Linked DNA regions of Canis lupus familiaris. The protein of the gene in region 2 purifies or fractionates together with the protein of the main gene of each other region. This does not show direct contact. Links are inferred from orthologs where the notes say so. Each region holds a gene or a part of one and is shown on either strand. Other genes may lie near its edges. The genes, in order: TLE2 and CCT4.

Evidence for each region.
Region 1: the proteins of CCT4 (region 2) and TLE2 purify together in Homo sapiens (affinity purification with mass spectrometry; 3 studies listed by BioGRID and IntAct, with this or other methods). This does not show direct contact. The link is inferred for Canis lupus familiaris from reciprocal best matches to the Homo sapiens genes CCT4 and TLE2.

Annotation. Positions count from the first base shown.
Region 1 is NC_049241.1:56,615,314-56,619,115, reverse strand, and holds part of TLE2 (transducin-like enhancer protein 2), read right to left. Parts: intron 3,573-3,802; exon of another isoform or gene 3,532-3,572; coding exon 3,512-3,531; exon of another isoform or gene 3,329-3,511; intron 2,392-3,328; coding exon 2,284-2,391; intron 1,929-2,283; exon of another isoform or gene 1,452-1,928; intron 1,101-1,451; coding exon 1,056-1,100; intron 594-1,055; coding exon 444-593; intron 414-443; exon of another isoform or gene 239-413; intron 1-238.
Region 2 is NC_049231.1:63,162,997-63,167,412, forward strand, and holds the start of CCT4 (T-complex protein 1 subunit delta), read right to left. Parts: upstream 2,936-4,416; 5' UTR 2,823-2,935; coding exon 2,696-2,822; intron 104-2,695; coding exon 51-103; intron 1-50. UniProt on the Homo sapiens protein: Component of the chaperonin-containing T-complex (TRiC), a molecular chaperone complex that assists the folding of actin, tubulin and other proteins upon ATP hydrolysis.

The DNA.
Region 1 (3,802 bases), on a different chromosome or scaffold from region 2:
GGGTGCCGGGGCGCTTCCTACGCGGAGAAAGTTGTTCCCATAGTAATCCTCCTGCCCGGACCTCAGGTGGGGCTGCTGCGCCTCCAGCGCCTCTCAGGGGCCGGAACACTTGCAGGGCGGGAGTCAGCCCTGGGCCCGGATTCTATGGTCACTGGGCTTATTTCCGGGGCTCCCTACTTAAGCAAGCAACCGTCTCCCCAGAAGATGGAGAACGTGTATGTATTTGGTGTGTGTTTAGGCCCGACGGAGCCAGTCCGCTCGGGAGAAGTACTTGGGCAAAGTCGAGGCGGATTTTAGGAGGGTGACAAATAACCACGAAGGACAAGCCTCTGGACACCCAGGCCGGGCCGGTTTCCGCCCCCCTCCACATCTCAGGTGTCAGCATCTGTTTCCAGGTCCCCAGGATGCACGAAGTGAGTTTCCAGGCCTCCCCCACTCCTTACCAGGACAAGCTCCTTGGCTCGGGGGAGTGGCGAGCCGAGGCTTGAGGCCAAGGAGGCTGGACTGTCCACGAGGTCCCGACGGGCAGGGACGCAGATGGGGGCCTTTCCACACGGGGTGCTGGCAGGGCTGGGGGGCTCCGACGGCTGGTCCTGGGTTTGAGGAGGTGAGGTTAAGTGGAGAGGAAGCGGGTAAAGAGGGCGAGCCCATTCCTGTACCCCCCCAGACCCCGTCCCACCCTCCAGGCTGGGCCCCTGCAATCCACCCCGTCTGATGGGATTGAGGGTACCTGCACCATAAGCACACATGGCAACGTCTACGTCAGGGCTTGCTTTTGGTGTCCCCCCCTGACTGGGGGGCCAGTGAGGCCAGGGAGGGGGCACAGCACCCCACCACACAGCGAGGGCGCTTGAAGCCACTGCCCGCCCCCCAGGGTTCTCAGGGCCTGTGCTATGGAGGGGAGGTTGTCCCGGGCTGTCCCCTCATCCCAGCCACCCTGAACCGAGAGGAGGCCAGGACGCCCCCTTCCCTCCACGCCCAACACTCTGCCAAACCTGCCACTCGCTGTGCCCAGACCTCTGGGCCCTGCAGTCAGAGGCTGGACCCCGACTCACCTCGTCCACCACCAGGTTGTAGTCACTCTTGTCTTCGTCACTCTCCTGGGGGGGGACACAGAGGAGAGGGAGAGAGCTTACTGTGGCCGTGCCCCTGCCTCCACATCCCCTTATTCATCCCCAGGAGTGGGGGCGGACACAGGGCCAGCCCCGGTCTGATCAGGGCTCTGGAGGCTCCAGAGGCCCCTGTACTTGGTTCGGAAAAAAGGCTGCCATTTGCTCAGGTCCAGGGGGGCGTTGGGGAGGGGGCAGGAGTCCCTTATGGAGAAAAGTGAGGGGGGTGGAGCTGCATGCCCACGACGTGCTGTGGGGCCCTCCCCAGGTCTCAGTTTCCCCGCTCTGTGCAGTGCGGGGAGAACCATAGCCTTGGCCCTTCCTCAGGCTCCTGGCCTTCAGCTTGCCCCCTCCAGGCAGCCCTCCGAGCTTGCCCGAGAGGAATTTTCTCCTGACGCCTGCCCCTACATCAGTTCTCCTTCCTTGTGCGGCTCCCCCACGGCCCTTGGGGGAAACAGCGTTGTCCAGGGCTGCCCCGTGTCAAGTAGAAAGGCCAGGAAGACCGAAGGTACAGCCTGAAGCCCACGTCTTCCCAGCAGGAGGGGCTTCTCTGACACCCCCCCCACCGACCCCCAATTATCTTCTTTAAAAACCAAAGGAGTTGCTGACGTGTATAGAACAAACTGTTCCGATTCTTAAAGAGCAAAGGCATCTGTGAGAAACAGAGGAGGACCTGCGGGCTCTGGGGCTGCCAGGCAAGCGGGACCAGGGTGAGGCTGGCCCTGCGGATGCAACAAGTGCTCCCCCCGCAGGTACAGCCCCAGCCTCCACTGAGGTGGGGGGGCCAGAGGTAGAGACTACAGGTGCGGGGCTCATACAGTGAGGGAGGGGTCCCGGCCCTGGAGGGGGCGGGGGGCCAGGGCCAGCCTCCTGCAGGACAGAGCATTCTGGGCCTCCTAGAGGGGCAGGGGAAGGGGAGTCACAGAGGGCTGCACGGGCCGGAACAAAATCCAGGAGGGGGGGCACCCGCTGCCTGGTCCAGGGGCTTCAGACACAAGAGCAACTAGAGCTGGGCCCGGCCCGCAGGGGTCTTCTGATTGCCCTGCGCTCCGTGGGCAAAGGGGAGCTATGGAAGGCCCTGGAGTGAGAGAGTCACGGCCAGAGCTCGGCTCTGGTCGGCTCTGAACAGCAGGGCTGGGGGCCTGCCCCAGTCTTCTGCTTGCCCCCCACTTACATAAGGTCCTGACAGATCTTTGTCCTCAGCGCGCTGCTTCCCGCTGCCGGCCGGGCCACCGGGCCGCTCCTCTTCCACCACACTCTCAGGGGGTGAGGGGGATGCGCTCTGCAGAGAGACAGGGCCAGATGGGACAGAGGGTCAGAGCCCCGAGGCCCCAGACCCTATCCTGGCACAGCCAAGCCCGAGGGTCCCCAACACTGTTATTGGGATCTGGGCCTCAAGTTTCCCATCTGGGAAATGGGACCTTCCGAGGGCAGAGTCAATGCTCAGTTCTTGACCCCCCACAGCAAGCTTGTGGGGGGAGGTGATGGTTAATCCCATTATACAGACAGGGAAACTGAGCCCAAGGGAAGGCAGGGCTGTGCCGTGAAGGAGGGGCTGAGACAGGACTCAAAGCCAGCCCACAGGCGCCAACGGTCTGGCCTTCGAAGGTCAAAGCCTGGGTCAGCTGCATCCCCCTCCCGCAGCATCAACCTGCCTGTGGGCCTCAGGCAGTCGGCTCCTTCCCTGGCACTCAGTCTCCCCATCTGTATGACCCTGGGGTCCTAGGATCGAGTCCCACATCGGGCTCCCCGCAGGGAGCCTGCTTCTCCCACTGCCTGTGTCTCTGCCTCTCTCTGTGTCTCTCGTGAATACATAGATAAAATCTTTTTTTTTTTTTAGGATTTTTTTTAACATTTTTTTTAATTTTTATTTATTTATGATAGTTACACACACACAGAGAGAGAGAGAGAGAGAGAGACGCAGAGACACAGGCAGAGGGAGAAGCAGGCTCCATGCACCGGGAGCCCGACGTGGGATTTGATCCCGGGTCTCCAGGATCGCGCCCTGGGCCAAAGGCAGGCGCCAAACCGCTGCGCCACCCAGGGATCCCAGATAAAATCTTTTAAAAAAGAAAAACAATTTAGAAATAATAAAAATTACACACAGGGCTACAGAGCAGCTCTGATAGATAACATCAGCTGGATGACGGACGGTTGATGAACGGAAGGGGGGGTGGAGGCTACTCCTTGCACGTTCACTTATTCAATTGCAGAAAGAAGCTCAAGGTGGCAAACTTTTGATAAAAAGAAGTCTAGCCTTAGGGGCACCTCCCACAGCAAAAGGCTCCAGGAGCTGCCCGGGGTCTTGCTCTGAGGACCCCATCAGCTCAGAACCCCCGGCTCCAGCCACCCGCGAGTACAAAGCGAATGTCACCCGAGTTCCTGGGCGCCCTGCAACTTACCCTGCTTGGGGCTCTGTCCACTGGCAGGATGCAGGGGAGGCGAAGAGAGAGGGGAGACAAGGTGAGGGTTCCGTAGCTCGTGGTGCCAGGGGCGCACCCCTCTGGAGTTTATAGGGCCCCCTTCCCAGCTCAGAACCTCCCTCCTCTTTCCTACACCCGCGTCCTCCCCTGAACATTGAGACAGGTGTCCAGAGACGGGCAGTAGCTCGCCCAAGAACACACAGCGGCTGGGAGGAAAGCTGACCCCAAGCCCGGCGGGCCCGGTCACTCGCTCCCTGGCGCTTCAGGGAG
Region 2 (4,416 bases):
GCAGTGTGGACAATAGGATTTTAATACATAATCATAATTCAGCTTTTTACCATTTTATCCATTCCTTTTGGTCCAAGGCTTGTTCTAATAGCATCAGCAACAGCTGTAAACAGAGGGAAAAAAATCAAGATGCTTAAAGCAAAGTGTTTCTCTTCTCAAATGATCATATCATTTGTCCTTATCAGGATATGATACACATTTACTGTGTCCATTAGAGAAAATTCATTATTTATTAAGAATATACTAGAAACTGATTTATTCTTTTTTGATTTGTTCTTACACTTTTGATTATAGGACACTTCACCTTTTGTTGTTAAAGTCACTATACAGAATACTGGCGCCCTACCTACGGCAGAATCAATTTTGAGGATTTACCTAACCCTTCTCTAGTACCAAAATAAGCACAATGACCTCTGAATGAAGGCTGTATTTTTCTCCATTCCTTAAAAGAACACAAGCAGCAACAGGGGAGGCAAGACTTCCTAATATACTATACTGTCTCCCCTAATTATAGATTGAATCTTTGAAGGCAAAGAGTTTTTTGTCCACCAATGTGAAGCTCGTCTAAAGATGGTCCACAGTAAAACATCCTTTGCCACCTTCTACCTTGCCACCAAATAAGCTCAAACAAACAAAAACCTCAAACCTTTACCCAAACCAAAATTTAGGTTTTAGTCATCAGTACATTATAAAACACCTCCGGATACACAGTCTACCATTCCAACGTTACATGTTCTTATTAATGCTCCTTAAGAGTGTTTATTAGTCCACTTAAGGGAAATTAGATTTGATGAACACTCAAGTCAAATCCCCTTTTGAGAAGCCCAGGACAAATAATTAGGCCTTCCCCTTCCTAAGATACCACCTCACTCAATATACACAGGGCTGAGATTGTGCCCTAATCATTGTAGACTCCACAACCAGCATCATACTCCCCCTCCCTTTATTGTGTAAATAATAAAGATCTTAACAAAATGAAAGTATTTGCTATAATTAAAAGTTATTCCCCTCCCTTTATTGTGTAAATAATAAAGATCTTAACAAAATGAAAGTATTTGCTATAATTAAAAGTTATTTTCCACTTAATTATTTCATAATTTTGGGCTTCTATTCCTAATTAACCAGGCAATATTATGCTTTCAGGCGATTTTAGTGGACCCACATGGCCCAGGTTCTACAAGCAGACCAACTCACTTTAAGATTGCCCTCACATTCGTCTACATGAAGTTAGGACAACGCACCCTAACCAAAAAATAAAGAAGGATTTTAGACTGCTTACATCTACAAAGGTGTCTGATTGCTACCATTCTGTGTGGCACACAGTAGGGTCTGTTACAGGACGCATGCCGAACAGTACCAGAACTAGTATTTCCTGTGTGTCTATATGGTTTTTACATGATCAATTTGGGGAGATGGGGGGGGGGGAGCACCATTTTGAGGTAACATTTAAATAAAAAACTGGCTCCCTGAATTAAACCAAAACTACACCTAAACGAAAGCAACTTTTCTTGACCAAGTTGGCTAGGTTTTGTCTGATTTGGAAAAAATTAGTTGTGCCCCTGAGTTCTCACTGAAAAGGTCATGTTCACAGATAATTCACCCGACCTCCGCTCACCAGGCCCTTCCAAAGGATTTCGCTCCATCCTGCCCTCCCGATCTCACTTCTCGCATCTTCATGCACTTTATTCTCTAACTGTAATGAAACTGGATTATAAGGCTCAATAAGCATCAGGTAAGATCTCTAGGCCTTTGTTCTCATTTTTCCTTCCAGACTCTTCTGTCTCAAATCAACTATACTTAATTCTCACAACTCTTAAAAAAAAAAAAAAAAAAAAAAAAAAGAAAAAAAAAGGGCAGCCCAGGTGGCTCAGCGGTTTAGCACCGCCTTCGGCCCAGGGCGTGACCCCGGGGTCCCGGGATCGAGTCCCACGTCGGGCTCCCTGCATGGGGCCTGCTTCTCCCTCTGCCTGTGTCTCTGCCCTTCTCTCTCTCTCTCGGTCCCTCATGAAATAAAAATAAAAATCTTAAAAAAAGAAAAAAAAGCGAGGGAACACCTTCCCAATTTTAGGGGTGAGGAAACGTTCGCCAGAGGTCGAAGGTCACAGAGCCACGAAGCAACGGTCACAGAGAACGGTAGCTCGGGTCTTCATCTCCATCATACTCCGACCTAGTCTGCAGAACAACACAGCGCCAACGCGCCGTCCACACTTCCAGGCCGGCGGGGCCCGGCTGCACACGCAGACTGGGCGGAAAAGCACAGCGGGCTTCCCGGGAGCTCCAGCCGGCAGCGAGGCCTCCCTCACAGCCCAAGACAAAGGGCGCCGCCCAACCGAGGCGCCAGCCCCCTTTCCATTAGTTGAGCCGAGAGCTTCTTTACGTGGTATCCTCGTAAGAACACCTGAAACCTAAACTGCATTTTGCAAAAGACGTTCTCGCAGGGGAACCGACGACAGCGCTGCCGCGGCAGGTGCCCAGGCCCGCCGTCTCCGGCAGCCCGAGGAACCGCCGAGGGCGAAAGGCTGCGGGCGTCAGGGCCCGGGCCTGGACCGGGCGGCGCCGGCGACCCCCACAGAGCGCAGCAAAGCTCGCCGCGGACCATCCCGGCAAACAGAAGAGGCGCTTTGGCAACCCAAGTCCGGGGCCGGAGCGCAGAGCTCGGCCCGCACGGCCTCGGGCCGGACGCCGCGAGCGGTACCTTTGGCCGCGGAGATGTTGCTGAAGCGGATCTGCGCCGGCTTGTCGCGGTCCTGGTAGGCGGTTTTGCTGCGGCCGCCGGCGGCTGCGGCGGGCGCCCCGCTCCGCGGAGCCGCGTTCTCGGGCATGGCCAACTCGGCGGGGTCTGCGCGGGCCTGGGAGGGACGGATGGACCCGGATTCCTGCCGGCCGCCGACGGACGGAACGCGCCCGCCGCCTTCACGAAGCTTCCAGAAAGCGGCGCGGGCGCCGGGAGGAGGGGGAGGCGGAGGCGGAGGCGGGGAGGGGGCCTATCGGGCGGCGTCGCGCCGACGTGACGTATAGGGCTGCCCGCCGCGCGCCGGGGGCCGGGGCCGGGGCCGGGGCGGGGGCTTTGTGTCCCGGGAGTGCTGGCCGCAGGGCCCGGGGGTGCAGGCGCGATGGGCAAGGGGAGGCGGGGGTCCCCTGCGAGGCAGGCCGGACACCCCGCGATTTTACAGGCGGGCGTTGGGCACCCACCTCGCGCGTTGCCCGGGCCTCCGCGGGCCGCGAGGTCCTTCCGTTAACGCGACGCGCCCGAGCCACGCACGGGGAGCCCAAGCCTTTCGGTCCAGTTACAATCGTTTAGTTGTTCTGTGCCAGGGGCATGGCTAAGACCTTGGGCCTTTGTATGTCCTTTAACCTTCACGATAAGTCCATGAAGTGGGCGCTCCCCCCCCCCCCCCCCGATCTGATAACGAAACACCAAGCCCCGGGTCAGCCTGTAAGTAGATTGAAACCGTATATTCCATGGAGAGCAACGACTCCCAGGTCATGAGTTAAACCGCCGGGCTCCTGTTAACACTTTTTATTAGGGACGTTCATAAGGCAGGGGTGCCTGGGATATATGGTCAAGGACGGGTTGTTGCAAAAAGCCCTTAACCCTGTGAGCGCTCGGGGCTTTTACACACCTTGAGGAGGTTAGCCCTAGAAGGTGAACCTTCCCAAGTGCTCTCTGGTCCACATGCCTTTGATGCTGGCTGTTTTTATTTTTTATGTTTTTGTTTTTACCTGGGTGGCTCAGTGGTTGAGCGTCCGCCTTTGGCTCAGGTCCTGATGCTTCGGTCCTGGGATCGAGTCCTGCATTGGGCTCCCAGTGGGGAGCCTGCCTCTCCCTCTGCCTGTGTCTCTGCCTCTCTGTCTCTCATGAATAAATAAATACAATAAAATAAGTAATAAAAAAATGAAAAGCTTTATTTATTTTAGAGCCTGCGTGTGAGAGCGAGCAGAGGGAGGGTCAGAGGGAGAGAGAATCTCTAGCAGAGGCCCTGCTGAGTGCAGAGCCCGCAGGAGGCTCCATCTTATGACCTGGGAGATCATGACCCAAGTGGAAACCAAGCTGATTTCGCTTTCAGAAAGAACCAGACTTCTATGATGTAGCTCATAAGTACCCTATAATTACTTGTTAAGACAACTGATGTGCAACAATGAATATAGCATTTATCTGGGGTGCAAAATCCTGGCTTGAATTCTGTTTTGCTACTTGTTAACTATGTGATTTTGGGCAAGTCATTTTAGTTCTCTGGGTCTCCTTTCCCTCACCTATATAATAGTAAGATTAAATTTCATGATCTCTAAAGGCTAGACTCTCCTAATTTTTTTTTAAAGATTTATTTATTCATGAGAGACACAGGGAGAGAGAGAGAGAGAGAGAGAGGCAGAGACACAGGCAGAGGGAGAAGCAGGCTCCCTGCAGGGAGCCGG